4 linked regions of the Yarrowia lipolytica genome follow. The protein of the gene in region 1 purifies or fractionates together with the protein of each later gene. This does not show direct contact. Links are inferred from orthologs where the notes say so. Each region holds a gene or a part of one and is shown in the gene's direction. Other genes may lie near its edges.

The links. The genes of interacting proteins can lie anywhere in the genome.
Region 2: the proteins of YALI1_B04321g (region 1) and YALI1_B08801g purify together in Saccharomyces cerevisiae (affinity purification with western blotting; 3 studies listed by BioGRID). This does not show direct contact. The link is inferred for Yarrowia lipolytica from reciprocal best matches to the Saccharomyces cerevisiae genes RPN1 and DDI1.
Region 3: the proteins of YALI1_B04321g (region 1) and YALI1_E25866g purify together in Saccharomyces cerevisiae (affinity purification with mass spectrometry; 9 studies listed by BioGRID, with this or other methods). This does not show direct contact. The link is inferred for Yarrowia lipolytica from reciprocal best matches to the Saccharomyces cerevisiae genes RPN1 and RPT4.
Region 4: the proteins of YALI1_B04321g (region 1) and YALI1_C05088g purify together in Saccharomyces cerevisiae (affinity purification with mass spectrometry; 3 studies listed by BioGRID). This does not show direct contact. The link is inferred for Yarrowia lipolytica from reciprocal best matches to the Saccharomyces cerevisiae genes RPN1 and ECM29.

Annotation. Positions count from the first base shown.
Region 1 is NC_090771.1:430,277-438,580, forward strand, and holds YALI1_B04321g (uncharacterized protein), read left to right. Parts: upstream 1-1,883; coding exon 1,884-4,823; downstream 4,824-8,304. Other genes in the region: YALI1_B04309g (uncharacterized protein), read right to left, coding at 261-668, 759-866; YALI1_B04370g (uncharacterized protein), read right to left, coding at 5,112-6,785; YALI1_B04391g (uncharacterized protein), read right to left, coding at 7,188-8,304.
Region 2 is NC_090771.1:877,281-883,694, forward strand, and holds YALI1_B08801g (uncharacterized protein), read left to right. Parts: upstream 1-2,909; coding exon 2,910-4,103; downstream 4,104-6,414. Other genes in the region: YALI1_B08783g (uncharacterized protein), read left to right, coding at 1,095-2,249; YALI1_B08817g (uncharacterized protein), read left to right, coding at 4,503-5,801; YALI1_B08831g (uncharacterized protein), read left to right, coding at 5,825-6,414. UniProt on the Saccharomyces cerevisiae protein: Aspartic protease. Appears to act as negative regulator of constitutive exocytosis. May act at the level of secretory vesicle docking and fusion as a competitive inhibitor of SNARE assembly.
Region 3 is NC_090774.1:2,583,580-2,590,315, forward strand, and holds YALI1_E25866g (uncharacterized protein), read left to right. Parts: upstream 1-3,006; coding exon 3,007-4,425; downstream 4,426-6,736. Other genes in the region: YALI1_E25826g (uncharacterized protein), read left to right, coding at 1-632; YALI1_E25859g (uncharacterized protein), read right to left, coding at 924-2,375; YALI1_E25889g (uncharacterized protein), read right to left, coding at 4,695-5,330. UniProt on the Saccharomyces cerevisiae protein: The 26S proteasome is involved in the ATP-dependent degradation of ubiquitinated proteins. The regulatory (or ATPase) complex confers ATP dependency and substrate specificity to the 26S complex.
Region 4 is NC_090772.1:501,794-512,311, reverse strand, and holds YALI1_C05088g (uncharacterized protein), read left to right. Parts: upstream 1-2,727; coding exon 2,728-3,039; intron 3,040-3,419; coding exon 3,420-8,207; downstream 8,208-10,518. Other genes in the region: YALI1_C05125g (uncharacterized protein), read left to right, coding at 1-1,768; YALI1_C05022g (uncharacterized protein), read left to right, coding at 10,065-10,475. UniProt on the Saccharomyces cerevisiae protein: Stabilizes the proteasome holoenzyme, probably by tethering the 20S proteolytic core particle and the 19S regulatory particle.

The DNA of each region.
Region 1 (8,304 bases):
TGGTATACATAGTGGAAAGCAGAGGCTCTCCAGTTCATGACTGGTGTTGTGCTACAGTATGTACTAGGCATACATATCAAACTAGTACCTCACGTGATATGAGCACTGTGTATTGAATAAATACCCCACACACTCGGACTCATCACCCATGCCCGGCTTCCCCTGGTGTGTGGATATGCTGTCAGTTCACGTAGCTTACCTCGCGTGACTGACTAACAGGATACTTGGTGCCTTTGGCAGTGCCGTTGATTACCAGCTGTCTACGGTCTGGAAGTAGCGACAGTACCGCAAGCCTTGCATGTTCGCTTTTCAATGTCACCGTCAAAATCAAGAATGGCCTCCTTAATCTGGGTGCCGAGATCGACGAGCTGGAACGAGTTCTCAAACACAATCTCTCGGCACTTTTCGTTAGGACAGTACCATCGCAGAGCGTCCTTCATGCCCTCGGGACGGTCCTGTTCAACCACAACACCAATGGTGTCGGCATATCGAACGGGGTTGTGGGGCACGTTGGCGGGGAGCAGGAAGATATCGCCCTCGTTGATAGTGATATCTCTGAACTCTCCATCGTCCACCACCTTGAGAGTCATGTGGCCCTTCTTCTGGTGGAACCATTCAGGGGTCTGGTTGATGTGGTAGTCAGTTCGAGCATTAGGTCCTCCAACGATCTGTGTTAGTTGATTGGGCAATGGCAAATCACAATAGTTGTGAATCATCTTCCCCAGCTGGATCATTGACTCATGTCATAAATCACTCACCATAACAGTGTAGCCTCCTCGCTGGATACAAAAGTTGTTAACCGGAGGCTTCAGCAGGTGCTGGTTCTCCTCGAGCCACTTGGGCAGATTGATTGGTTCCTGGAGCATGGGTGACGAGTGGTGAGATGTACTGGAAAAGAAGAGCTCACGCCATATTCTATATGCCATGTATGTGGGGCGAATAAACTCAGACAATCATGTGGGGGTGGAGGGAGTATATCTTAGTGTTGAGGAGATGATTGAGAAACTGGACTATGTAGATGGGATTTTCTTGCCTGAAATATTCATTTGACGGTTTCAAAATAAAAAATGGACCCCTTCTCGCCCCAAAATCAGCTTTCGGAGTTATGTTAATCTCCGTAAGCATGCAGGATTCATATGCACTTAATCAGTAGAGACCCTTGATTATGTTAACCAAGTCTGCGGTAGACCAGCAGGTGGGCAGACAAGAGTTGGATTTGTTAATGAGGTTTTAGAAGGTGCGGCAAAGTAGTGATAGCCACTGGCTGACACTTGTGAGCTAAAGTGGCCATGTATGGGGTCAGATACACAGCCACTGTATCAAGTGTTACAGTACACGATGTTCTGGTAGCTGTCTATTCCAAAACACCTCCACACCTTCAAAGCTCTTCAATTGTGCGCTCTCATTTTAGCAATCGAATTGGTATGAGCTTTGGGCGCAGTTTATACGCTTTTGCGATGCTTTCGGTTTCTCTGGTCATGTAATCTGGTTGGATATGATGCAAAGAACGGCAACATGTACAGTATTCACCGATCCAAATCAAACACATCAGGATAACCACACCAGTTAGCTTATGTAATCATGATCCCAACAGAATCCCCAGCAGGGGTGCTTTGAGGCACAAGTCGACAAGTTGTCTTAAGATTACAAGAATATAAGTATCTCGATCCAGTCAAATCAGTCAAATCAGTTTAATCTCATTCTACCAACCCATTCAACTACACCACCGCCGCTCACGTCCCATCCACTCGTACCCACCTGCAAATCGAACTCGCGCCACCTCCCAATAACCTTCTTTAGGCTTCTCACAACCACATCCACATACAAGTAGACGTCATTGGAATTGCCACTGATCTCTTTACCACCCGACATCGATCTCAATCATGGCTGCCAAGGACGTGACTAATAAGCCGAGCGACAAGTCGGCTGAGAAGACCGTCGACAAGACCGCCCCCAACGACAAGAACAAAAAACCAGCCCGAAAGGATGAAGAGGAGCTGTCTGAGGAGGACGAGAAGCTCAAGTCGGAGCTGGAGATGCTGGTTGAGCGTCTGACCGAGAAGGACGAGTCTCTGTACGAGCCCTCGCTCGAGGCTCTCAAAAACTTCATTCGAACCTCGACCTCGTCCATGACCGCTGTGCCCAAGCCTCTCAAGTTTCTGCGGCCCCACTACCCCCAGCTTGCTGAGCTCTACGACACCTGGACCGATGCCAAACACAAGCAGCAGCTCGCAGACGTGCTTTCCGTCCTCGCAATGACCTACTCCGGCGACGGCAAGCGAGATGCACTCAAATTCCGACTCAAGTCGACCACCGACGATCTGGGATCTTGGGGACACGAGTATGTTCGCCACCTTGCTCTGGAAATCGGCCAGGAGTATCAATTGCAGCAGGTTGAGACCAGCGACGATGCCAAGGAGGGCGTAACTCTGGACACCCCCAATTCTGGTGTTGGATCGCTCACCGACGTACGAAACCTGGGCATCAAGCTGGTACCCTTTTTCCTCAAACACAACGCCGAAGCCGACGCCGTGGACTTGTTGCTGGAGATTGAGGCCGTCGAGCATCTACCTAAATTCGTTGACGAAACCACATACGCCCGTGTTTGCCATTACATGGTCGCCTGTGTGCCCCTGCTGGCACCCCCAGATGACGTGGCCTTCCTACACACCGCTTATGCTATCTACCTGGCCCACCGCCAGCTGACCCAGGCTCTGGCCCTGGCGATCCGTCTGGATGACATGGAGCTCATTAAATCGGTTATGGATGCTGCCAGTGGCGACGATTTGCTGCAGAAGCAGCTGGCGTTCATTCTAGCTCGACAAAAGTGCTACTTTGATGTGGCTGACGAGGGCGTACAGGAGTGCATGTCCAACGCCCTGCTGGCTGACCACTTCCGATACCTCACTAAGGAGCTCAACCTGCTGGAGCCAAAGGTTCCAGAAGACATCTACAAGAGCCACCTGGAGAACTCAAGAGACATCATCATGTCGGGGGCCTTTGACTCTGCCAAGCAGAACCTGGCTGCGTCGTTCGTCAATGCCTTTGTCAATTGTGCTTACTCGGCAGACCGTCTGCTGACCAATGGAGGTGCTGAGGATGATGGAGACGCTACTGCTGGAGGAGCATCTGGTGCCTGGATCTACAAGACCAAGCTCGCTGGAATGTACTCCACCACAGCCTCTCTGGGATCTCTGTTCCAGTGGGATCTCAGTCGAGGTCTGCAGCAACTCGACAAGTACGCCTACTCTTCCGAGCCCCAGATCAAGGCTGGAGCTCTTCTGGGTATGGGTATTGTCACTGCTGGTGTCTACGACGAGACAGACGCTGCTGTCGCTCTTCTTGCCGACCACATCACCGAGGAGCCCTCAGCTGAGAACAACAACGGCAACGCATACAACTTGAACCAGCTTTCTGCTGTGATGGGTCTGGGTGTTGCATACGCCGGATCTCGACGGACAGATCTTCTGGATATGCTCCTGCCTTTGGTTCAGGACACTGACACCTCCATGAAGACCTCTGCCATGGCTGCTCTTGCTCTGGGACACATCTTCGTCGGCTCTGCTAACGGAGACGTCGTTTCTGCTCTGTTGGGATCTCTGCTTGAGCGAGATGCCATCCAGCTGTCTGACAAGTGGGCCCGATTCATGGCTCTGGGTCTTGCTCTTTTGTTTATTGGCAAGTACGAGGAGATTGAGGAGGCAGTTGAGACTGTTCGAGCCATTGACCATCCTCTGGGCCGAATCTGCGAGACTCTCATCACTGTGTGTGCCTACGCCGGTACTGGTAACGTTCTGCAGATCCAGAAGTTGCTGCATGACTGTGTTGGAGAGAATGTTACTGAGGGAGAGGCTGACGGAGAAGGCGATGGTGAAGGTGAGGGTGCTGAGGGTGCTGTTGCTACCGCTGAGGGTGCTGAGGGTGCTGCGGATGCTGCTGACGCCATTGACGCTACCGCCGAAGCCGTCGCCGCCGAAGGAGAGGCTGCTGCTGATGCTACACAGGAGGTGGACTCGGAAGAGGCCTCTTCTCACCAGGCATACTCTGTTCTTGGTCTGGCCATTGTTGCAATGGGTGAGGAAATTGGCCAGGAGATGGTTCTCCGACACTTTGGTCATCTCATGCACTACGGCGATGCCCAGGTGAAGCGAGCTGTTCCTCTTGCCATGGGTCTGGTGTCTGCTTCCAACGCACAGATGCGTGTGTTTGACACCTTGTCGCGATACTCACATGACGCCGATATGGAGGTTGCTCTGAATTCCATCTTCTCCATGGGTCTGGTGGGAGCGGGAACTAACAACGCCCGTCTGGCCCAGCTGCTCCGACAGCTCGCCTCCTACTACTCTAAGGATCCCGACGGACTTTTCACCGTCCGAATCGCCCAGGGTCTGCTCTATCTGGGTAAGGGTACTCTTACTGTGTCTCCTTTCCATACCGATCGACAGATTCTGTCCAAGGTGTCTCTGGCATCGCTGGTTACCCTTCTGGTGACCATGATCGACCCCAAGTCGTTCATCCTAGCCGACAACCACTGGATGCTCTTCTGGCTCACTAACGCCATTCGTCCCCGCATGCTCATCACTCTGGACGAGAAGCTGGAGCCTATCAAGGTGCCCGTGCGAGTCGGACAGGCTGTGGATACAGTCGGTCAGGCCGGAAAGCCCAAGACCATCACCGGCTGGGTCACTCATAGCACTCCCGTGTTGCTGAGTCATGGCGAGCGAGCCGAGCTGGAGGACGACGAGTACATTCCTCTGGCCTCGTCTCTGGAGGGCGTTGTCATTCTCAAGAAGAACCCCGACAGAATGGATGAGAGCAGTTAGCATACTCTGATAGGTATGGAATGAATAAATGGAAATGAATAGTAGGATACAGCAATAAATGGCAGGAGCGTAGTAACGGATGTACAGCCGCGATTTGATCTATTCTAAAGTCAGTAATAGTTATTCAGATTCTATAGCGTAGCTACAGTACAAGTGACAGTACGACGATACTCTGAACTGTAGGTAATTTCAGATGATTATTCTATACATACATTCGTACCGTAGTAGTTTCGTGGTTCATCATAATCCATCGCTGACCACAGACAATAACAGGTTCGCTCACATCGTCTATTTGTTCTGTGTGATCGACTCCTCCATCTCCGCAACCAACTTCTTTCGGTCGTCCACTCTCTCCTTCTCCTCGATAGCCTTACCCTCCCATCTGCTCCAGATGAGCTGTTCACAAGAGTTGATGCTGGCTCTGGCCTTCTCAAAAACTGCAACAGAGAAGTCGCTGCAGAGAGCGTCCCAGGTCTTTTGCAGCTTGAAACATCCCCAGACAATACCAAAGGCTGCGATAGAGCCCATGTTGTAAAGAGAAAGGTCGTAGAGGTATACTCCAAGAGCAGGAATGATGACTGTAGGAAGCTGGATGCCGAGTACAACCTTCAGGAACTCGTGGTAAGCTCTCGAGTGCAGCTCAGACACCAGAGTGTCATCCAACTCCTCCAGCGTCTGGCCAATCACGTCGTCTGAGGGGCTGTCCCAATGTTCGACGGGAGAAAGTCCGTAGATGCCGTCGGTGAGAGGCTCGGGAGAGTTAGGAGTGGTGCAGGCAAAGCCGTCGATTCGGCCAAGCAGGTAGCACATGGATTGTCTTGAAGCAGGCAAGAATGCGTATTCGAGAGAATCTCGGGTGATTCCATCAACGTCGTCAATTCGCCAGTACAGCTTGTACCAGGGCAGTTCCGATTGTCGCCACTTGAGCAGCTGTTGTTTTAGCACCGTCTGGAGTTCCCGGTGGGCGTTTCGGGACCATTCTGACCGCAGAGTCTTGATAGTGTCCGCCTCGCCCTTCATAAGAGACTCCTTGGACACGTCAGAGGCACACAAATCCCGGCAGGTCTGGTAAATGCTGTATCGAAGAGCACGGTCGTGGTTGGCGGACATTCGCTTCATTGCTCGAGATAATTGCTCAAAATTGGACTTCTGCCACAGCTTGAGGTACTTGGGGGAGTTGGAAGGAGACTTTCTGAGCAGAGAAACGGCCTCAAAGGCCTCTTCGGAGTTGACTGTAAGTGTGGCACTGACAATAGCCACGAAGTCGTCCTCAGCCAGGTCTCGCAGGTTCACGGAGGGCCATGCCTTGAGACCCTCTCCTTCTCCGACATAGATGATCCAATGGCAATCTCGAATGTTATCGAGAGAATCCGCGAATGAAGTGGCCTCCATAATGTCCACATCTACCTCCTTTAGGAATGGCGAGGGCAAGCTCATGTCCCATCGCGAGTTTTGTGTGCCGTGGCCGGTGTATTTGCCAGGACTCAGAACGATATCCTTGGACGCAATTCTAGCCAGAAAAGCGTCGTACCACCTTTGGTCGGATGCCAGTGGGTCTGCCAGTAGAGCATTGAGAATGTTAGCGTCCTTGCGCTTCTTGACAGTCATATCTTGGGGACCCAGAGGCACAATACCGATTCTGGTTCTACCGACGGAATCAGCCAGAGAAACTCGGGCATGGAGAGAGTCCCGATCGGGAAATAGACCACGCACCTGACTGATGAGCTTGTTGGGGATTCGGGGCTCCATGGACACTTTTCCATCTACTTTGGCGGTTTCAGACGGTTCCAGTTTCACGTCATTTTCCGTACTGGTGGGACGGTTGAACAGATCGATTTCGGTGGTGCCGTAGACAGAGCCAGTGAGCACATGTGAGTCACGTGTTCCGGCGGTCGTGTACCGTCTCAGACCAACGCTGTGACGTCCTATTTGTCGTAGCATGGTGGTGAAATGGATGGTCATCTGCAACCTGTAACTTTGTGCTCTAATATTGCCTGTTGATGGATGCAATTGGTTATTTGGGCAGTCACGAAGAAGCTGTAAATGGGGAGTTGAGAATTTGGGGGCTTAATGGGTGTCTTACCTGGTGGTAATTAATTGATTCTTCGGGTTTTATTTCAAGTCTGACCGTCATTACCGAGTATTGATGGGATGTTTTTGCGTATTGTTTTCTAAACAAACTCCACAACTATAAGCTGCCTTACCTCAGTAATCCTAACTAAATTCATGAAAAGTGCAACTCAACTCCCATCTTGTTAATTCACGTCTCTGGGCTACAGTTGGAGACATAATTTTAAGTCATGTTAGCTATTTAGAACATCTATATGGTTCTTTTTGTTGTGACAGATACCGCACCGGTGCTGTCTAGTTCTCAGTTCTTCTGGAATGCCACCAGACGATGAAACCCATGGAGAATGCAATAAAGGCGATAAACGAACACGACGAAAACACGTAGGCAAGAGCGTGCTTGTAGACGTTTCGGATATCAATCTGAATCTCGGGAGCTAGGTGGTTAATAAATTCAACGTTCTTTCGGACCTTGAGTTGCAGCTCGGGGTCGGAAATGATTCCTGGAAGCTCAGAACGGAGACGCGATTGCAGAATGTGTGCAACTCCGTTGACTCCAAGCACCGATCCAAGTGATCTGAAGAGGTAGATGACTCCAATGGAAGAGGCTGAGTCAGCAGCTCCTGTTTGGCAACACAGTCCGATGAGTGTTGACACGAGAATTAGGCCCTGAGCAAGACCCTGGAAGGCAAGATTAACGGCCATGACGAGCTCCAGGGAAATTCCGTGGCTCTTGAGCACATTGGCCAAGGGAGTAGCCTCGTGGGGAGTTGAAGAGTTGATCAGCCGGGATAGAACGAAACAGGAGATTCCCACAGTAGTCAGACCGGCAAGAAAGACTCGAGGATATCGTTCCTTGGTGTTCTTCTTGAGAAGCTGGCCTGTGATAACGGATCCAGAGGATACTCCAATGGATAGAGGAATGAGTCGTACACCTGCTTGGGCAGCACTCTCCAGAAATACAACCTGGAGAAAGACAGGAGTGTAGTAGATAACTGAGAACTGAGTGATGGTTGTGAAAAAGACTGATGTAGTCAGCAAAGTGGGCTTCAGGTGTCCAAACACAGCCTTGGTCATGATAGGTTCAGGTGCAATCTTGATCTCGACGTACAAAAACACGGCCAGGAAAATGGCACTGGCCAGAGACATCATCTGGAGAGTTCCACTGTTGGAGAGTGTTCGAGTGTCGGTCTGCATGTTGATGACCAGCAACAGGAGGGTCAGGAAACAGACGATAGAGATGGATCCAAAGACATCAATTCGTTCCAGAGTAGATGCGTTAGAAACCTTTAGTTTCTTTGGTTTGATGTTAACGTACCGGAACACTAAGAAGGAAGAAAGAACCACAAAAGGAACCTGCAATGAAAACATGTATCTCCAGCCCAAGTGGTCAGCAATAAGTCCTCCTACAGGA
Region 2 (6,414 bases), about 450 kb from region 1:
CTCTGATGACGCCATGTTCCTCCGTCCACCCTCCGTACGTATGTACTCCTCCTTGGCATGTTTTGCAGCATTTTGACTGCTCGCCAAAGAATGATGAATAATCAACTGCTACAGAACAGAGACGACGGATGGAGGGGAAAAAATTGAACAAAAGAAAGGGGAAAAAAAGGGAAAAAAAAGAAAAAAGACGCACGCAGGGTTATTTGAGTGTCACGTGATAGTAATCAAAACGTATTAATAATCAAACGAACTCATTGTCCATAATCCAACCTTGCTTGCTAATCAATCTCTGGACCTTCCTCCCCAGCCATGTTCATCTCCATGTGGCTGTTTTTCCATGTTGGTTCACGCCACGTACGTATTTTGCTTGTTTCTATTTAATAGAGTTTCGAGGGCAGTTTCGGGTGAAATTCGTCTGATTTGACATGTTATGGTGGATATATCGTCTTCAAATTTATATCATGAGATAATCTGGGTTGTTCAAATTGCCAGACCGAAAATCACGTCTTTTGGAACACTTTTAAATCTCCAAAATGGCTTCATTAATTCGAATCGGTCCAACTTTATTTTCCAAAACTGGAACCGGTTGAAATTTGATTGATCTGGGGTAGCAGAAGGAGTGGAGATAACTACTGTACTAATATCGCATAAATAGAAGATGCAATTGATTTTATTTCATTTGTGTTATTCATCTACCTCTTATTAATCACAATCACATGACCTACCCACGTGACAATCGAGACCCTGTCATGCTGCTGCTGAAGTTGTAGGAAGTTGTAGGAAGAGGCAGTGCATACGCGACAGTTTTTTGTACCTGCAATTTTAGTTATTTTAGCGGGGTGTGGGATATATCACGTGTACCATTTTGACGCCAGCGTAATGTGGTGGAGTGACACATAACTTGTCGTGCCTGGAATCGCGTCTCGTGAATATATAAACCCGCGCTCTCCCTAATCTCTTTTCACCGCCCTCCCAGACCCACTCCTCACCACTCTCTCTGTCTCTGTCAGACGCAATAAAGTTGAGCTCGAGTGACGTGGGATGCACCTCTTGGTCTCAACTCCATCTACTGACACAGAACCCTACAGCACGCCATGGTAGACGATAAATACATTGGACTGGCGCTGGCCATCTCGTCGTCGCTGGCCATTGGCACGTCGTTCATCATCACCAAGAAGGGTCTCATGGATGCCTCCTCCCGACACTCGGCCGACGCCGGCGACTCGTTTGCCTATCTGAAAAACCCCATCTGGTGGGCCGGCATGATCACCATGGCGGTCGGCGAGATAGCCAACTTCGCGGCCTACACGTTTGCGCCGGCGATTCTTGTCACGCCGCTGGGCGCGCTTTCCGTCATCATTGGAGCTGTTCTGGCGTCGTTTTTCCTCAAGGAAAAACTCGGCATTCTGGGCTCTCTGGGCTGCGCCATCTGCCTGATCGGCTCGGTCATCATCGTGCTCCATGCGCCAGCCGACAAGGACGTTCAGACCGTCGACGAGATTCTCAACTACGCCGTGCAGCCCGGGTTTCTCATGTATATTTGCGCCGTGGCCGCGTTCGCCGGATTCATGATCTACAAGGTGGCCCCACGACTGGGACGAGTCAACCCCATGATCTACATTTCCATCTGCTCATCGGTGGGCTCCATCTCGGTCATGAGTATAAAGGCGTTTGGAATCGCCCTCAAGCTGTCGCTGGGCGGCAACAACCAGTTCACCCACCCATCCACCTACGTGTTCCTCATCGTCGTGGCGGTGTGCATCGTCACCCAGATGAACTACTTCAACAAGGCCCTCGACCAATTTGACACCAACATTGTCAACCCTCTGTACTACGTCACTTTCACCACCTGCACTCTGGCGGCTTCGTTCATTCTGTTCCAGGGGTTCAACACCAGCTCCGCCGTCGACGTGATTTCGCTCATTTGTGGCTTTCTCATCATCTTCACCGGAGTCTATTTGTTGAATATCTCCAAGACGGACCCCGATGGATCCAACCTCATGCCCGGCCGGGCTCTGGATGGCATTCCCATGGACAATGGCGTGGCGTCGCTGCAGACCCGACGGTCGGCCCAGTTTGCCCGAAACTCGCTGCATCGACGGTCCGATTCGCTCAGACAGCATGAGGTGCGGCTCGTCAACGACTACGACGAGGAGCAGTCGCTGGGCATGACGCGGCTGGATGATCTGGACGACGAGGACGACGGCTTTGATATTTCCGACGAGAGGGAGTTGTTGAGACGGCACTAGTCAGGCGCCGTGGACAACAACGTGGTGGTAGTCAGCCCGCCAGCCAGCCGGGCACAAACGCACATACTCTTGTGTTCTGGCGACGGGGCATAAAAACGGATTCTTTCCCCCATTTATTCATATAACATTAGGATCTCGGGCTGAAACAAATTTGGATCTCGGCTGGAACAATTTGGACCCAGGACCAAGGACCCAGGACCCAGGACCTCATTGGGCTGAACGCCCTCATTTATATATATATTTACCTGCACAGCGTAGGAGTAAGCCCTACCCTGTTTTCTCGACAGAGTTGAAATTCATGCTGTAGTATCGTAGGTATGGTACATACTCTACAGGTGACTATCATTGGTGGGGTTTTGATGGTGGTGATATCTCGAGATATCTCGTTCCGAAGACCCCCAAGTGCCACTTTTTGGTGCTTCTTTTCTAGAATATTCTCCTTTTGTTTCTTCTTGAAAATCTTACCAATTTCTGATTACCAATACTTCCACTCCTAATCTGAGTTTATGCACCCTCCTGCAACCGCCACTCATTATCGTGTTGATCTGACACAAAACGGAGCCCACACAACCGTCTAACACTTATAAAGCTCCCCACACGCCCACCGTCTCTGTCACTCACTCATTTGCCACCCCGCCACCCATTTACCGCCCATTTAACATGCAAATCTTTGTGACAACGCCATCTGAAAACGTGTTTGGACTAGAGGTCGCCGCAGATATGGCCTACGAGGACCTGCTGGCTTTTGTAGAGATGGAGGCGTCCGTGCCGTCCAAGGACATCATTCTGAGTCTCAACGGCAACCCCATTGTCGACACAGACCCCAAGGCGACGATTGGGTCTCTTGGAGTCACCGACAACTCCATGCTTCTTCTCACCACCAAACGAGTGGCTCCCAATCCCTCCACGTCCGCCCAGCCCGCCATTCCCACACTGGACTTCTCGTCAATCCAGATTCCCGGACTGCCCGCGGCTCAGCGGGTTGATCCCCGCGCCGAGCAGATCCGAACGCAGATTCTGGAGCGAGCAGACTCGCTGGATCAGCTGAAACTCAGCAACCCCGAGCTTGCCGAGCACGTGCACGACTCACAAAAGTTCTCCGACGCCTTCACCAAGCTGCAGAACGAGCTGCGGGCCAAGGAAGTCGAGCGCAAGAAGGAGCTGCAGCGGCTCTACGCCGACCCCGACAATGAAGACAACCAGAAACGAATCATGGAGATCATTCGACAGGAAAACGTGGAGGAGTCGTACCAGAACGCCATGGAACACCACCCGGAGATGTTTATTCGAACAGACATGCTGTACATCAATTGCCGTATCAACGGACACGATGTCAAGGCGTTTGTGGACACCGGAGCCCAGATGACGATTCTGTCGGAGGAGTTTTGCGAAAAGGTCGGCCTGTCGCACATGCTGGATGTCAAGTTTGCCGGTGTGGCGCGAGGAGTGGGTTCGGGCAAGATTCTGGGCCGCGTACACTCTGTGCCTCTTCAGATCGGTTCCTCGTTCTTCCCCGCCTCCGTTTCGGTCATTGAAGGCGACCAGCTCCAATTCATTCTGGGGCTCGACATGCTCAAGCGATTCAAGGCCAACGTCAACTTGCGGACCAACCAGCTGGAGATTGGGGAGGAAAAGGCCACCTTCTTGGGCGAGAAGGATCTTCCCGACGAGTTTGGCAAGCTGGGCCAGGAGAAGGAAAAGAAACAGGACCATGGGTCTGCCGGAGACGCGTTCAAGGATGAAGATATTGTCAATCTCATGTCTCTGGGTTATTCCAGGGAAAAGGTTGTGGTTGCTCTCAAGCAGACTGACGGCGATGTGGAGTTGGCTGCTTCTTTGTTGTTTTCTCAGTGAGCTCTAGGGAGCTTGTGAATGAGAGTACATATGTGGATGTATTATATTGTATTCGTATGGATTGTAAAAAATAAAAAATAAAAAAATCACCGAAAAGAGGAAAACAGAAAAAATCTAGTAAACAATAGTTAGGCTTCACTAAGCGAGATGCACGTCATTAGTTAGACTTTCATCAAGGCATACTGTATGTATATTTATTTTTACTTTCTCACTTTTTTTTTTCGTACATTTGTCATCAATAACATACCACCACCTTCAATATTATCGCTACCGACCCACAAATTAGTCAGCATAAAGAGCACATTTGAAGGAGTCCGCAACCTGAAAATCTCGTGATTTCACCTACCAATGCACCAGATCTAAAGCAAAAACAAAAATCCAAACTTTGCCTGTCCTACCATGCGGCCGACGTTAGTGAGACCTGATCTGGGGGAGATCCACGACCGATTCGAGCTGGGAATTGAAGGAGCATCCAGTTGCCCGGGCGAGCGACCGTGTCCACGACGAATGCGTGTTTTGAAACGTCTGGTATTGACGACTTATGAGCAGTTGATGGACATGAGTGACGACAACGTGACCCATTCCGACTGGGCCTGGAGCATGCGGATGGTGGTTGAGACGTGTTTACGGGAGATTATGCAACTGGGTCTGATGCGTACCATCTACGACCTGGTGTTTTCGCTCCATTGTGGCTGTATGGGGGCTCCCGTGACGCGAGGGCGCCTTGACAAGTACTCGACCAAGTATGGCAGCTACCAGACCACGTTCAAGGATGCCTATGAGATCACGTGCGACTATTTCCGGCTGTATCGACTTGATGAGAAGAAACTGAAGGCGTTTTGTGCCCAGCATGATCAGGATACCGCTCTGGAGATTGTGTTGGCAGCCATTGGGGGGGAGAAACCGCCAATGGTCGATGAGGAGGCTCGCGAGACCGTGAGGGAGATTCGAAACAGCATCTGGAAGAGCGCGAGAGAGACGTATTTCAAGCTCAAGAACGACGGGCGCGAAACGTATGATTTGGACGTTGTTTTCGACAATGAAGAGCCGCCGTTTCCAAACCACGTTTTCATGAGTTTGGCGAGCCATTTTTTCGCGGACCATGGTTGGTTGCCTGTTGGTGACAATGTGGGCATATTCAAGGACCAGAATATGACTCTTAAGGCTCGCCGAACCGCGTCTCCGGACCTGTTGGATCGTTTGGGGGTCATGTTTAACCACCATGGCATTGTTCTGCCGGCTTGGCTGTCATCTTGGACGGGTCTGCCTGAGTCTGCTCGGCGGGCCCTTCCCGAAACCATGTGGATGTCTGATTCGGGGCGATTCAGCATGGCTGTTTACAAGCCTGCGTTCGAACGGGAGAAGCTGTTGATCGACATGTTTCCTGCCGCCCGGAATCTGCCCGCTTCTGTTCTTTTGCGGGTGTCGTTGTTTATGCACCAGACCAACGCGCTCAACTCCAACGTGCTGCTTCATATGGAGGACTACTTCCGGACTCGGACGGAGGGGCGGTATCAGGGTATGCCGGAAAAGGACCCCCGTGGAGGCAATATCCGAGTCGATCTAGACACATGTTTCAGAGAAATGGTGGCCTGTAACTTTGGCTTCGACAAAGTCATCAAAGACGGCCAAATGCCGGGATTCGAGAGCTTTCAAAAAACAGGGAAAATCACCGGACTTCCGTTTTCCAGTCGCTGATTGACCAGTTCCACGACGCCAGCATGTTTTGTTTCCTGAGAGAGCTCCTCACCACCTACAACCCCGAGCACGTCAACAAGGGACCCTTTTTGCAGGCGTGTGTGGATTATGCCAACAAACACGACCCGGAGATCTGGCATGATGGAGATGATGATTGGACCTTGTGGCTGGTCACCAACATGATCCATCCGTTGATCGTATGCGAAAAGCCACTGTTTGCGAGTTTTGGCCAACTGGATAAGACCGAAATCTGTGTGGAAGGAAAGACTTTCAAAGTGACTGCCAAGGGCTCCGTTTGTTACGCCTATAACCGTTGCGGAAAGGGCATGTACGCTGTGGGTTACCTATGTGAGGCTGGGGCGGTGAATCTGATGAGCCATGACACGTTTCTACGTCTTCGAGGAGCCTCCGTGAGGCGAGATCACGACCATTCGTTGCTGGAAATGCCGCTGTTGAAAACTGAAATCTCCATGGGAGGAGAAGAAAAGGTGTTTTGGAAGGGTCAAGAGATTGGCCGAGTCGATCTGCGTTATTGGCATGAACGACTGGGTCATATCAGTGGGGCTACAATGAAGAACTACCAAAAGGTGATCAAGGGTCTCCCTCCGTATTT
Region 3 (6,736 bases), on another chromosome or scaffold:
GGATCTGCATGACTTGCAAGAATACAGTCTTTGGTAGACGTAACTTTCAGCGGGATGTCAACTCCGATCCCAGCGAGCTGCTTAAGCTGTACAACACCATGACCCATCTGACCACTTCCATCGAAAACATGATGCCTCGGTTCCAAAAGGAGCTTGAGGAGACGATTGCGTCCAAAAAGATGGCCGGTATGCATCCCAAGGACATTTTGGCAGCGTCCAAGCTGCGTAAGCGTCTTCTCGATACCTTTTCGCAGCTAGATTCGGCTGCTAGAAGAGTAGGAGCACTGGAGGGACTGTCTCCTACAGAAGAGCGAATACAGCAACAGATATACACAGCTGCGGTGTCATTTCTACAAGAGAAGATGCTGCCCTTGAAAACGCTTCCCAAGGTGCTGGGTAGTGAAGCTACAGCCCCCGAGCCAGCTAAACCCCGTCCTCCTGCCAACTACAAGGCACTTCAGCAACAGCTGGTGGTCATGGAGGAACAGAGGTTTATGGTGGAGAACATGATGCTGGAGGCCAAGCAGAGGCGAAAGTACGACGAACTGGGGCCTTTAGAGATGTCTGTGAAGGATCTCGATAAAGAGATTGAAATTCTGAGGAAGAGGCTAGGAGATGAAGCATTTGTTTAATCTCAGTTTAGAGCAGCACCACGAAGGAATATTTGTACTCATAGAAAGTGCTAGCGACCCTATGGCATGATACTGTATGTATCAGAACAGTAATGAATAATGAATGATGACAATTATGTATATTACTTGTGGCGGATTCGGTGACTGTAGATAATTGTACAAGATACAACTATACTTGAACATCACATACGAGTGCGGAACATTTCAGAACGTGAAAATGTTCTGTGATTCTAGATCAAGTCTGTAATTACTCCATACTCTATCCAACATACATTAGCTATACTTGTCCTTCTAAGACCGATCGAAGAGCCCATCATCATCATCGTAGTCGTCTCCTCCGCTGACGGACCAATCGTCCGAGTCGCCCATTTCGCTGTCATCGTCATCATCGTCATCTTCGTCATGGTCGTCAGTGTATTCGTCGGACTCCATCAAACCCTCCAAGGACAGCTGTAGCATGGTTTCGTTCTTGGCCACCTTGCCAGCCTCCACCTTGTATCCTCCTTCAACATTGCAGCCTGTGAGTTTGGCCTTGGTACCGACTGTGGTCTTAGTTCCGACCAGACAGTTCTCCAGAGTAACGTCATCGGCAATGAAAGCGCCGTCAAAGATGACACAGCCGTTGATTCGACATCGTTTGCCGATGGTGCAGTTGTTTCCAACCACAGATCGCTTTATACTGGTTCGCTCGCCCAGCTGGGTCTCTTCGCCGACCAGAGAGTCGACACCAACAGTGGCAGCTCCCTTAACAGCTGGAGCGGGCTTCTGGGCAGTGGCGTTGGCCTTGGCTCTTGCCTTCAGAATCACTCGGTTCATTTCCATGTATGCAGACAGGTTGTTTGCTCGTGCAAAGGTATTGGAGTCCAGAACGCACAGAGACACAGACTTGAGCGGCTTCGCATGTGCCCACGACCGTCGGGCAATGTCTCGAACCACTCGGTCCCACTGTCGGCCTTTGGCCAGAATGGTGTGTGCCTCCTCCTGTTCTTGTCTGACAGGCGACGAAGATCGGGTGTCGGGATCTTCGTCTGTGGAATCCTCCTCAGGGGCAGCCTGAGTCTCGGTGATGACTCTACACACGTCGGCAGTGCAGAAGTAGACGGACGCATTGAGCAGCTGTGTGGAGACCAAAGACTTAGGGAAGTGCCACAGCATGGATCGGCGGATGGGCATGGTCTTCTTGTTCTCAATGTAGTCACGCGAATACGAGTCCAGCAGCCGCGGGGTTCGCGAGTCCAGCGATGAGTGCACCGTCACGTCCTTGAGCAATGACTTCTTGTCCACGTTCTCCAGGGTATTGGGGTAGTAGAAGGCTGTGAGAAGCGAGTCCGAGTCTCGGCTTCGGTAGGTGTCGACCAGCGAGCTGGCGGGAATGTCTGTGATAAAATCGCAGCAAACCACAATGAAATCAGAGGGTTCCCCTCGAGTCAGCTCCAGAATGAAGTCTCCAGACTTCGCATCGGTCTTGGAACAGATAGTCACGTTGGAAGCCACAACTGAGGTGGAGTGCTCAGCCTTGAAAGAGTCCACGTAGGCGGAAATCTCCGCCTCGTCAGCTGTAGAACAGCACACAAACACCTTGGGGTTGGGGATGGTCTCACACCATTTGAGGGTGTAGTCGATCACAGGCACGTTGGCCATGGGAAGAAGGGCCTTGGGCACTCCAGACGCTCTCACGGACGAGAGAGGTGCCATGTTTTTGCCCTGGCCGCACAGAATGAACACTTTGAAGTCGGCTCCCATTGTAGCAGAGGAGATTTAGCACAGAGTGGTGGTGGTGTGTGCTTTATGTGATCTTTTATGTGCTTCTTTTCAATGCTAATAAATTTCACTGCACATGGAGCTTGCATCGGAGTTTATTTGACGGGGATGGCGGTGTCTGTAACAAGATGTGGAGATATCCTATCGATAAGATAATGATGGAAGCAGATTGTCTGAGAAATTACAAGAAGAATGCACTTTTCAGATTATATGTGGGATCTATATTGGTAGAGTTGGATAGACCTATATTCAAAGTCATTCTGAAGTAAAATGAAAGATAGTTCAACTGTTGGGTGAAGTAATGTGACAATTTGGTTAAGTTACTTATACGCTTATGTAATCAATAATTAGATGTACACCTCTTTCTCCTCAATGGGGTTTCTCACTTTATTTATGGATTTGTCATTGTGTCTATATTACAGCACATCAACTACGGGTACCTCTACTAGATCTGTGGTTGCATAACCACCAAGAGCGAATGGGTCCACCCATACCCATCCAGACTCTGTTACCTCACGTAATCCTGTGGAAGGTGTCAGAATACGAGGTTTTAGAGTAGTTGTGGAGTAATGGGGATATTGAGAGCAATAAGTGAGGAATATAAAAGCGATTGATGATCATTTATTCCCCGATATTCTGTCTATATTTGTCATTACTGTACTCTCACCTTCACTCACCTCGCCACCATACGCCACTCTTCTACCAAACACTAATATTGGGAGGTGCATCACCACTTCACATATTAGAACCTCAACGCTCCAGTTACTACATCAGTACAACACACCACAACACACACAACATGGAAAACGACCCGCTGCTCGCAGCTCTCAACCAGGAGGCGCCCGAGGTGGCTGCCACACCCACAGATCCCGAGCGGGAAAAGGCGATCGAGTCGTTCAAGAGAAAACTCAAGGAGCATCGAGAGTACGAGGTCAAGCTCAAGGACTTGCGACTGGGCATCAGAGACCTCGAGCGCAAATTCGACAAGACCGAGGACGACATCAAGGCGCTACAGTCGGTAGGCCAGCTGATTGGCGAGGTTCTTAAGCAGCTGGATGAGGAGCGGTTCATCGTCAAAGCCTCCAACGGCCCCCGATACATTGTGGGCTGTCGGTCCAGCATCAAGAAGGAGAAGCTGCTGCAGGGTGTGCGTGTGTCTCTGGATATGACCACTCTGACTATCATGCGAATTCTTCCCCGAGAGGTCGATCCTCTTGTCTACAACATGACCACGTTTGAGCCTGGAGAGCTGACCTTCTCCGGTATCGGTGGCCTCAACGAGCAGATCCGTGAACTCAGAGAGGTCATTGAGCTGCCTCTGAAGAACCCCGAGCTGTTTTTGCGAGTCGGAATCAAGCCTCCCAAGGGTGTGCTTCTGTACGGCCCTCCCGGAACAGGAAAGACCCTGCTGGCCAAGGCCGTGGCCGCCACTATTGGCGCAAACTTCATCTTCTCGCCCGCCTCAGCTATCGTCGACAAGTACATTGGAGAGTCTGCCCGTCTGATTCGAGAAATGTTCGGATACGCCAAGGAACACGAGCCCTGTATCATCTTCATGGACGAGGTGGACGCCATTGGAGGACGTCGATTTTCCGAGGGAACCTCCTCCGACCGAGAAATCCAGCGAACGCTCATGGAGCTGCTGAACCAGATGGATGGTTTCGACTATCTCGGAAAGACCAAGGTCATCATGGCCACCAACCGGCCCGATACTCTGGACCCCGCCCTGCTGCGAGCAGGCCGTCTGGACCGAAAGATCGAGATCCCACTGCCCAACGAGGCCGGCCGTCTGGAGGTGTTTAAGATCCACGCTGCTGGCGTTCAGAAGCAGGGCGAAATCGATTACGAGGCCCTGGTCAAGATGAGCGACGGTTTCAACGGAGCAGATATCCGAAACGTGGTCACCGAGGCTGGCTTCTTTGCCATCCGAGACGATCGGGACTACATTGTTCAGAACGATCTGCTCAAGGCCTGCAGAAAGGTGTCCGAGAACAAGAAGCTGGAGGGTAAGCTCGAGTACGAGAAGTTGTAGTAGACTAGTTAAGCATTTAATCGCAAGTGAGAGTGTAGTTTGCCTGTAGTGCCAAAGCACTATTATGTTTCAGCTGTGGCATATGATGTATACTGATAATGAGTTTATCACGATGTTGCCATGTTCAGCTACGTTGTCAACTATTACACTCCATCGAGATCGTACTGAGAGAAAACGACCTGGTTGCTACTTGTATCATGAGCATGCTTTCGTTATAATGTCATCAATTTCCATATGAATGTCCTTCGTTATCTATGGCCACTTGTCTCTTAAGAGATCATCTCCATCACCCTATAATCATCATCCTCCACCTCCTCTGGAATACCGTGAATCGTGGCTTTGTGGAAATCCTCATCCAGTCTTCTCTTGGCCTTTGCAAACTTGTTCCCAAAGTTCTCTCCATCCACCACAATGTCCCCCTTGATGAGTTTCTCCTGTGAGACCATCCAGGCGTCAAGACTTGGGACTTTCAGATCCGGGATCGTTCTGAATGGCACAAAAAAGCCAGTCCTGAACGAGTTGAAGTGTGTGCGGTTCTTGAGCCGGGGAGAAGACAGATCTGTCGTCATAACATGGACATGGACATGATTCATGCTGGGCACCGAGTGGATGCCTGACTGGATCTTCACGTCCTTGGAGTATCCCTTTGTACGAATGAACTCGACAGCAACCATTTTCTCAACTTTTTCCACCATGGCACGAGTTTTTTCGTACAGGTTGTCGTCTTCAAACGCCTTTAGAGGATGGGTATCGGGCTTGACAGCCTTGGGTAACACCAGGTAATGGATATGTGATTTCGGGAACGCATCTTTGATCACGACAAAGTCTGGTGTGTCGAGAGTCACATCGTTGGGGAATTTTTCAGGACTCTTTATGTACTGACCTAGTGCGTATTTCCATGACATGTTTGAGAGTGATGCCGTATGTATCAGACTGTGTGAGACGTACTTTTATACACTCCAACGCATTGGGAGCAGGAGCAGGAGGTAGAAAAAGACGATGGCGAAGAACAATCAAAACGACGCAATGCGAGTATTTCGAGACAGTTTTTGAGATGGATCGACAAAGTATGGCATTGTGATCTCATTACTTAGTTTTACTTACCATTGCTTCCCCCTGGTAGTGGAATTAGCAGGATCTTTCTAGCAGGTAAAATGCTTACAAAAGCTAGGATCTTACTTGATCGTTTACTTGACCTAATACTTGGCTCTACCTCTACCATTTAAGAACCAAACAAAAAGAAAGAAGAGAAAAATCGAATAACATGGCGGGCCTCCCATCCCCAGAACTAAACGCCTGTCTACTCCACGACATTTGCCGTTACTGAACCACCATCTCATCAGACAACATTGCTCCACCTACAAGTAGCCCACTTTTCAGTCAAGTGCGGCTACAGTAACAGTCTTCCGTAGGAGTCTGGAAGAGCCATGAGTGAAAAAAAAAAAAAAAAAAAAAAAAAAGGGCTTTAATTGATGATACAATGTGTATTTGTACCACACAAAGGACCTATCATACTGGTCACGTGACAGTTGTATATTGACCCCATCCCTCGATCTCACCTAACTGACCACGTGACGACAAGTGCAAGGACGAGTACACTTCTCATTGGGATCTACAAGGGCATGCTTCAATTTCCCTTTTCGTTTCAACTTCTGGAAGTCTCCACAATCTGTCACAGTATGCTCTTTTTGACAGCGCAGGTAAATAAGCATGTTGCTTACTAGAACTGGTAAATAAGCACGTGAGTTAGTTGCCAGTAGTTTTGCAGTCTGAAGCAGGTGGGAAAGCGGCTCCATTCACCGCCACACAATCTCTGCACAAGCTGTACAACCTCATTCCTTCGGTCTCACTTGCGTTTCAGTACACGCACCTTCTACGAGACAACCCTGCATACCCCGGGCTGCACATGCTCACAGAGTTACTGTACTCGTAGGTGACAGCTCATCGACTTAACGAACGTGGTGCAGGTGGCGTAGAGGAGCTAGGAGAGGGGAGAGGGGGTGGATCGGTCAAAAGCGCGATTGACGGGGGGATTAGAAGGTCCTTATATACACTTTGAACACGTCATCAGTGACACAGGCCGTGTGACATGCCCACTTGCCACGTCCACCCTTTTTTCGAGATACGCGTCGCAACTTTGATGCAAATGACTGGTTTTTGCTTCGTCTGTCGATCTCTGGAACGGGGGGTTGAAAGCTGTGAATGGGCGGGTAATCGGGAAGATATATATACGACTGGACTCGCAAATCACAGACAAACAAGATGCACTTTTCGGATTTTCGCAGAGACCCCTACAATCCCAACTACACTC
Region 4 (10,518 bases), on another chromosome or scaffold:
CGGGGGGTTTACCAATACCAACACTACCAACAATGATTCAACATCAGATACTACATTGAAGCGTATTGCAATGAACGAGAAGTTCGTGGACACTATTTTCGCCAAGGTACGGGAGAATGCCGCAGTTGATTTGTCTGATGTCGTGAGCAAGTATCTCGAGTACTCTAAGACACTTGGAGGTGACCATGCAAACGTTGCTAACAGCACTACCAGCACCACCAGCACAATTTCTGCGCCTGTTACTACAGCCACACCGACTCCTGCTTCTGCCGACAAGCCCAAATCGTCGCTTTTCTCGTTTGGAGCTACTAAGAACTTTTCCGCTGCCAACACAGACACTGAGAAAAAGGACACTACCTCCACCAGCACTTTTACATCATCACCCTCCTTCAACTTTGGAGCTGGGGCAGCCGCAAAGCCCGCAGTGTCGAAACCATTCTCTTTCGGTACATCTAGTGATACCAAGGAGGATAAGCCTGCTGTAACTACTCCCTCTTTTGGTTTCCCTAAGGCTGACACTACTAAGGAGACAGACGCCAAGGACACCACCACTGCTGCCAAGCCCTTTACATTTGGATCTTCTACTCCTTCTGGACCTTCTTTCAGTTTTAACAAGTCTGGAGCTGATGTTGCCAAAGAGAAGACTGCTCCTTCTTTTTCGTTCACAGCTAAGAAGCCCGAAGAAAAGAAGGAAGAGAAGAAGCCTGAGCCCGTTTCTGTGGACTCCGATTCCGACTCTGACGACGATGCCATTGACATCACCAAGGGCCCCAGTTTTACTTTAGCTGCACCTCCCACTACCACAAACTCTGCTTTCTCTTTCAGCAAGCCTCAGAGCGAGGTGAAGAGCACAGGTCCTTCGTTCACCTTTGATAAGAAGGTTTCCAGCGGTCCTTTCAATTTCAAGTCCGAGACCAAGACTGAGGAGAAGAAGGAGGATAAGCCGGAGGAGAAGAAGGAAGACAAGTCCGAAAACAAGAAGGACTTCACCTGGAATCCCTCTCAGGGAGTTGTTTTCGGCAGCAACAAGACCGAAGAGTCTGCCGACAAACCCGCATTTTCGTTTGGAAGTACTTCTTCGGCAAAGCCTTTTACTTTTGGCGCTAAGGCTGATGATGCTGAAGACAAGCCCAAGCCTGCTTTCTCGTTTGGATCTAAGTCCGCCGAGTCATCTGACAAGCCTGCCTTCTCATTCGGAGCCAAGCCCGCTGAGTCAGCCTCTTCGGACAAGCCTTCTTTCTCTTTCGGCACCCCTGCATTTGGTGCTAAGACTGAGTCTTCCTCTGACAAGCCTGCATTCGGTGTTTCTTCCGGTAACCTGTTCAAGGGTGATACCAAGGGGGAGACTAAGCCTGCTGCTGCTTCTTCCACCGAGTCCGGTGAACCAGATGACACCCCCAAGACCGTCACAGACTCGGATGACCTGTCAGGACAAGGACCAGGTGAGGAGAACGAAGACAATGTCGCCGAGTACCGAACCAAGCTGTACAAGCTGGATGACGGAAAGTGGGACGTGTGTGGAGTGGGTCAGCTGAGAGTGCTGGTGGACAAGGACACAAAGAAGGCCCGAATTTTGATGCGAGCAGAACAGAGTGGACGAGTGCTTCTCAACTGTGTGGTTCGAAAGGAGTTGACGTACTCGACGACAAAGTCGAACGTGAACATTGTCGATTTCGACGCGGACTCGAAGCCAATCAAGTACATGGCCCGAATTAAGACTGCTCCTGAAGCTGAGCAGTTGTCAGCTAAGATTGAGGAGGTGAAGTAAGGAGAGGGGTTGACATGAGGTGATGTAATTGAATACGTTGTAACATATCCCATGATTAGTAAATGCATGGAGGAGGGTATAGAGGGTGCTCGTGGCATACAACTGGGACCGGCACAAATAGGTGTGTCCATTCTGTATATATCTTAGTGTTTACAACATCCATTACACTTTAGTGCCCTCTCTCACTCTCTGCAAGGAGATAAGGAGTAAATCCAAGGGGGATCGTATGGAATTTCGACGAGTATCGTGATTTTCCTTCGAGTCAACAAAAATCCCAACTAAATTTAAGTGTTGTTAACAACCTAAGTAATAGATCTTCTACAGGCCACACTCAGTTCCACAATAGCAAGAGAAGAACAAGCCATTATACTCGAACAAGAATGATAGCGATTGAATCCAATGCTACTGTACGTACTGTACTCCGATAACTTCAGCCTGTCATTCTTCCATCAAATTCTTCACTACATACAACGCCAATTCATATGTTACATCCAAACTAATGGCACAACGTCGTCATACTTATAGGCGAACATAATCACATCATACTTTTAGAGAGAAGAGAACAAAATAGAAAGGCAACATGGGGATATTATGACATCAATCAACTCCTCCAGAGGAGCTGATCAAGACTATATAATTTTGATCCCTCTATTCTCTCTACAAATCCCTCTACACTCCCCCCCCTTTTTCTTCCCCTCATGTATGATCTCAACGGCAATACCATAACATAATAGCTGAGGTTACAACCAGTACGTAGCAGCTAACACCGCGACGATATAAGAGGCCACAGACACCCGAAATGAATGTTTTTTTTTTTTGCACCCCTTCAGTAACAGCACGTGCCCACACGACACCTCACGTGACCCATTTGCACCCCCTTGCACCTCGCCACCGCCACCATGCAGTCCAACCTAGATCTGCTATCGCCGATAATCTCTCTCCACTACAACCACCTCAGCATGGACGAAACACAAGAATTGCAGCTGGTCAACGCGGTGGATCTGCGGATCACAATGGCCAAAGAGGACAAACTGGGCGAGACGATCGGCGTCTATCTGGTGCCTCTGTTGACCAAGCTGGCGTCCAAAAACGTGTCAGTGCGACAAAAGGTGGTTGAAATGTGCCAGCATATCAACACGCGAATCAAGAACACGACATTCAAGTTGCCTGTCGACGCCTTGGTCAAACAGTTTGTCGAGAGTGACAGTGAACTTATCAGAAATTTCGATCTCATGTACATTGAAATGGGTATTGCCAGAATGGGTGATGATGTGAGTATTGTGGGGCGATAACTCCTTCAAAGGGTTAACAACCCGCTGCTATTTATGGGCTACAGACAGTTTGCGGACCCCATAATGATACAGACAGGTGGTGGTTCCACAACTCAATTGTGTGCCACACTGACATCAATGTCTGATCTGATATATGATACGATGGTGAAACAACAGATGTCTAGTTTAAATGTGATCTTGAAGATCCATGAAATCTAACGGAATGAATGCGTTAAAGCTAGGGTTTCCTAATACTATCCAAGCAACATGGCTTTCAGACCATGTCACTATCTGCAGCTATGATCTTTAGCAACACTTCCAGATACAACCTGCTCTTGTCTTTCATCCTCTACGGCCACTCATTACCGTTACTAACCCAGAAATCTACCCTCATCATTCCCCTTATCTCCTCAATTTCCACCCTCTCCTACAACCACTCCAAAGCGGTCTTCCGCATCCTACTTAAACTCCTCCCCTTCATGACCTACCCTCCCCGAGGATCCACTGAAGCAGACAAGTTTCGTGAAACCCTTGACGTCAACGACAACGACATTGCGTACCTCGCTCTTCGCTTCACAGACGTGTTCAATTTCTCTGCCACCAAGAGAACCGGAATGACCATCAGAGAATACGAGTTTCTGTCAGCCGAAGAATGCACCACTGCCGTCAAGAGTCACCTGCTCAAATTCATTAGTGCGTTGTTTACAGACACAGAGTCGTACATTCCTCTGTTGTGTGCGTCTACAGACGGCAGTTCAGCCATTGGAGAGCCAGCTAACGACGCCTGGAAGAAACTCCAGGTAGATTTGGAGTCCGAGATGCTTACTAACCAGCTCTATCAGCTTCTCCTCGGGTACAATGGATCTTCCCCTGTGAAGCAAACGACTCAGGCAAAGATTCTCGCGGCTCTGTGTCATTCGGTGCATGCTGCCAACGTCGATGACGCCTTCAGAGCCATCCAGTACTTCACCCAGACTGATTTCTACTCTCGAGCTGCAATCATCCAGTTTGTTAATTGGATTGTGAAGCATTCCAATGAAGAGCTGTTTTTGCGCCACTCTGGAGACCTTCTCGAGCGTGTTACTCACCTTGGAAACGATGCCAAGACCGCCGAGTCAGCACAGGAGCTCATGGGCGGTATCCTGCGTCGAGACTCTCGTCTGCTGAGTAACATTTCTCACGTGACGTTCCTATTTGACCGGAAAGCAGGTGACTCTTTGTCAGAGCTCATCAATCCGCTGGCAAAGTACCCCGAGACAGCTGAGAAACTGATTCCCCACCTGTCTCGGTACATCAGCCACCAGGCGACTCAATTTATGGCTGCTAAGTACGCAACTCGAGTCTTCCCCTATTCAAGCGCTCATGCGCGCTTCCTTTGTCTTGTTGGCCTTACTTTTGGCCGGACAGACATGCTTGAGGAGTGTAATCGGGGACTGAACCCTTACTGGATGCGAGCTGTTAATGTTCCATACATCACCAGCCATGATTCGCTCGACGTGATCAAGGGAACTTCGGATTCGGACATTTTCCAGTTTCCCGATGTGTTTGAGTTATGTAAACTGATCCACGAGTCGAAATTTGATCTCAAAAAGGCCGCAGAGTGGATGTTTCCCTACCTGGTTCGGTTAACTGTGGCTACAGCTATCCAGGGTCATGACACTGTTTGTGTGGTTGATGAACAGTGGGAAACACGTGTGGATGAAGCTCTGAAGAGTGATGATCACGTGAGAAAGCTCGTTATTGAGTATCTGAGCAAGACCGACATTTCTCCTATTCTAGATATCATTTCCACTCATCAGACCTTCTCCACTCTTCCTGAAGTGTCACTGGAGCTCTACTATTCCCTGGTTTCTCTGTCTACCAAGTCATACAATGTCTTTGATGCCAACAACAGCGTGGTTCAGCTTGCTCTGACCTCTCCCTACTACAAGATTCAGTCCCACGCTGCTCGTGTGATTGGCCTGGAGCAGAGCGAAGAGGTGGCTCATAATCTAATTGCTCAGTGTTTCAACCACGTGCCAAAGAACGTTGATGGACCCATTCTCGTTTTTTCCAACCTGGTTTCTTTCCTGTCTGAGTCAGACATCTCCTCCGCGCTGGAGATTTGTTCCACTCATATCGATATGGAGTCCGTTCAGACTTTCTTGAGTGAGATGAAACTGCACAGAATCTCTCTCGACAACTGGAGCCGTCTCGATGATGTCAAAAAGAAGACTCTGGTCAAGCCCACCGAGCATTCTGTGCTTGCATTTGCTTATCTCAACTTGGACAGTCCTGATTTTGAGTCCAATGTTGATAAGATCTTTGCCATTGAGTCAAAGCAGATGGATTTTGCCTTCTTCACCGGTGAGGCACTTTGTGTGCTTGCTGCTGGGTGGGAGACTAAGTTCGTCAAGCGAAAGATGTGGAAGATTGCAGATAAGCTGCCTGTGAGTTCCCTGGCAGAGGAGCGAGTGAGCCAGCTGACTACCAGACTGATCAACATGGCAAAGACGGTGACCAAGCCTTCTCTGCGGAAGAGTACCGCCATATGGCTTCTTTCTGTGGTCCAGTACTGTGGTCATATGATCCATGCCCTTCTTCCTCAGTTGCAGCTTGCTTTCATGCGATTTTTGCCTGAAAAAGACGACATTGTCCAGGAGGCTGCTTCCCGAGGATTGTCTCTTGTTTTCGAGCAGGGAGACTCTCGATTGCAGAAGGATCTGGTTGAGAATCTTGTCTCCTCATTCGTCACCGATAAGTCGTCTCACAACCAAAAGGTGCATCAAGAAACCGAACTTTTCGAGCCTGGAGTTCTCAATACCAACGACGGATCGATTTCCACTTACAAGGATATTCTTTCGCTTGCTTCTGAAGTCGGAGATCCCTCTCTCGTGTACCGATTCATGTCTCTGGCTAATCACGCGTCTCTCTGGTCCTCCAGAAAGGGCATTGCGTTTGGTCTGGGTAACATCTTTGCCAAGGCTTCGCTCGAACAGCAGCTGGCCGACAACCCTGCTCTTGGAAACACTCTCATTCCCAAATTGTACCGGTACAAGTTTGATCCTAGTACTGGACAAGTCATGGCCAACATTTGGAAGATGTTGATTGGCGAGTCTTCCACTAAGACGGTGAATTCCCATTTCGAGAGCATCCTCAAGGAGCTGCTCTCTTCCATTTCTTCCAAGGAGTGGCGAGTTCGACAGGCTTCTTCGGCTGCTCTTTTGGACCTACTTCAGGGTAGACCCATCTCTCAGTATCTCGATCATTTGTCCGAAATATGGACAGCTTGTTTCCGAGTCGTTGACGATATCAAAGAGAGTGTTAGAACTGCCGGTCTTGGTCTCACACGTGGCCTGACTACTGCTCTTGTTCGGTCTCTGGAAAGTGACTCCATTTCAGACGCTACTGCAAAGCAGGTGCTGGACCAGATTATTCCTTTCCTGCTCGGAAACTCCGGTCTGCAATCGTCAGCTGAAGAGGTCCAGCATTTCTCTCTGGATGTGTTGCTTCAGCTGATCAAGAAGGGCGGTTCTAGACTGAAGCCTTTTATTCCAGATCTTCTCTCCGAGTTTGTAGAGTTGTTATCCACCCTCGAACCGCAGGCAATGAACTACATTGCTCTAAACGCCGACAAATATGGAACGACTGCCAACGACATTGACTCGTCGCGCCTGGCTGCTGTGCGTCACTCCCCCATGATGGACTCCATTGAGGAGATTATCGACCTCTGTGACGCCGATCTGATGAAGAAGATTGTTCCTAAGCTGACTCTGTCAATAAGAAAATCGGTTGGGTTGCCCTCCAAGGTTGCTGGTTCGCGAATCATTGTTACCTTGACTATTAGAAAGACCCAGCTGTTCAAACCCTACGCTGGTCCACTTCTCGTCAAGTCAGCCATTCCCAGCATTTACGATCGAAACGAGACTGTGTCCAGATCGTACCTTGCTGCCTGTGGCTACCTGTGTCGTTTGGCGGACGACGAATCCGTTCTGAGCTACATTACTGAGTTGCAGAACCTGTACTTTGGAGAAATCCAAAAAGGTACTCTTGAACGAGCTCGAATCTCAGCTGCTATTGGAGTGAAGGAGATCGCTGCTCATGCCGCTGACAAGTTTGACTCGTTGTCAGCCTCCTTGTTGCCCCTCATATTTGTAGGCAAACACGATTCAGATCCTGCTGTCCAGGATGTGTTTACCAACATTTGGAATAACAACACTGGAGGCAAAGGGGCCATTTCTCTGCACATTAAGGAGATTATCGCTCTGGTTTCGCCCCATTTGTCTTCTCAGCAGTGGAACATCAAACAGATTGCTGCTACTTCCATTGCAGATGCTTGCAATTCTGTGGGTAAAAACGTTCTGAATGATGAGCTCTTCGAGGTGATGATCTCTGCTTGCCAGGGTAAGAGCTGGACTGGGAAAGAGGCTGTGTTTGACGCTCTTGTCTCTCTGGCCATCAAGTTCAACCTCCACGATGCCGTTGTTGATAAGGTGGTGACCACTGAAATCAAGCGAAAGAACCGAGAGTACCAGATTCTTGCGCTCAAGTCTGCGTCTAGGTATCTCGGCCACTTCCCATCGAAGCAGCTGTTTGATATTTTCTCTGACATTTGTTCTCTTTACCTCCTCTCCAAGTCGGACTTAGAAGACGTGGATATGGATTCTGATGATGAGGAGGAGCTCCTTAAATCCCAGAGTGAGGACAGAAGAAACGCCATTCTGGGCACTGCTATCAGAGCTCTGTCGATTGAGAGCACCGACGAGGACGTTTCTTTCCTGTCATCCTACTTTTCTCAGGTTTCCGAGTGGATCCAGCTTGCTTTGACTCCTCCCAAGAATCTGAACAAGCTGGCCACTAAGAAGTCTGTAGATCCTACATGGAAGACAAAGTTGTGTATTTCGCAGGCTCTGTATTCCGTTGTTATTGGTTTCTTCGGCCAGGAGAAGCCTGCTGGGTTTGAGAAGCAGTTCCTGGAGATTTGGACCCTGGTTGCTGATACTTGTTTGCTGACTACTAATTTGGACAAAACCAAGGTGGAGGTGTGTAAACTTGGGCAGGCTGTTTTGAACTCGAAGATGAGTGATGCAAGTAAGGAGAAGGTGAGAGAGGTGCTGGTATTGGCGGAGGAGCATGAGCAGTCGTTGATTGTCAAGGCTGAGCTCGGGAGAGTTCTGAAGAGCATCTGAACGAGGAAATCCGACCCTGTTGGTGATGTCAAATTAAATTGATTGCATCAGATGTATTATGATTAGATAGAATAAATTGATTAGATGTATTTTTCATTATTTTGTAATTACATAATACTGTATATTGTATGTATTCCACCTATTCGTTTAGTTAGTATTTAGTTGACATTTAATTAATTCTAATTAGTTAAGGTTACAATTATGGTGGGGATTTAGTTGGGATGATGGTTGAGATGAGGGAAGCAGAATGGTCTGCTCTAGACAGCCTCCCTCGCCGCTAGAACTGACATATAGATTTCTGGTGCATTATGTAACCGATAGAGAAATTCCAGGTTCTCCTCCATGTCTTCAATGCTCAACCACACTTAGTTTGCCACTCCGCGGTCATGCCGAGGTATGTTAAATGTTACATGAGTATGTCCGCTGTGTAAAGGGTAAAGGGTATAACCCCGCTGTTCTGTCCTACTGCATTCTCAACATGTTTCCCAACAGTTCCTTGGTATCCACTCTTGACCCGGTCTATGACTATTGTAGCTAGTGTGAGATAAAGGACTAGCCCTGTCTATTAGTTCCTACTAATGGCTATTCCGAGCTTACTGCATGTACTGTAGTAGAAATATAGGTCAAGTGCGAATGACGTAATTTTCGTTAGTGACACTGAATTTGATCATCAGAGTGTTTTCTGTCATTATCATTTCAGCGTGGCAAATTCATCTACATCTACCATTTCTCCCCCTATTTAATCCATTTTATACCGCAAAAATGCGTGCCCTAGCTTTTATCAACGCATCTACCCCACCTTATCACGTGGCGCACGAGGTGCATAATCGTGCAGAGCAAAGATGACGTCAACCGAGGGGGATGAGTGAGTAACGTGGGGCAGGGCATGTGGACGTGGACAGGGAGACATGTGACCAGCCCCCTGAATACGGAGGGGTTGTGTGTGTGTGGCGTGACTTTATGAGCAATTATGTCTCCCCACGTGATCCAGAACACGTGACCGGAGCGCCGTGGCTGCCTTTTCGTCCCGTTGTGGCGGTATTTAGTTCAATCTCTGATTGCTTTCTGGTATGGACATTTCCCGGGAGCTAATAAAGTAAGGGTCATTTGATGTCATCTTTGCGTGTCCCTTTTAGGCACTCTTTGGCCGTGCAAATGTTGTTAAATGGGAACCATGATTGGTGCTTATTTCCCGCAGTCATGTGGCAAACGGCGGTCCAAGGGCGGGCCACAGAGGGGTGTTGGCGTGGCTGGAGGCATTTGTGCGGACAATGTTATATATAGAGGGTTTCTCCCTCCCCATTTTCTCTATCCGGTCTATATTTTTATCCCTCATACCTCAATCATTGCGGTGTGATTGTTTTGGTCTTCCCCAGCTATCTTAAAGTTAAATGCGTTGATAAGGCTTGTTGTGAGATAACGTGCATACGCGTCACACACATCCATAAATAAATCTTGCTACGCGACTTTGACAACTTGTACACTTGTACACTTGTACACGACTCCCCCCAAACAAGACACCACACGCTTCCAAACACACGCTCCCAACCAGCCACTAGCCACCATCCCACCTAGTCACACACTGCCCAGACACAGAAACACAGACAAAGTCTCAGACACAAACACATCCACATTACTATCGGTAGAGTCCTTCCCGCCCTACCACTTGCATTGCTGCCACATAAATTGCGGCACGAAACACATCCATAGAATCGCAGAGTCTCTGAAGTCACTTCACCACTAAGGTACTCACCGTTCACCACACCGTTCACACATACCTTATCACCACTGAGGTACATCACTACAGCCTCACTACCAAGGTAATTTTTCCAAGACTCACTACACCACCTCTCCACAATGTCATACCTGTCGCCCTCTTCTTTCTACTCCTGGCTTTCGGGATCCAAGAACAGCCAGCGTGACACGGCAGAGCAGCTCTCGACAGTCAACGGCGGCCTGGTCCCCCTGGACCCCAACCAGCGGGTCGTCACAACCCTGGAGGACGACGACGAGTACGCAGTCGTGGGGCTGCGCAAGCTCAGTTACGCCGAGGTCGTCCGTCTCGAGGGAGGCAAGGCCACGCCCGTGCCTCGGATCCCCAACCCCAAGGGTGCCACCGCCCAAGCGCCCGCTCCTCTGGTGACAGAGGCCTCCGTGAACCGACGGGCGTACGAGGCGCTGGCGGACTTTTCCGACGAGGCTCTCGGGGATGCCAAGTACGACCCCATTCGCAAGTCCAACCGACGAAAGTCGTTTGCTGGCAAGTAAGTGCATCCTCTACCCGTGGTGCCTTATTTGGCCACGACCCCAC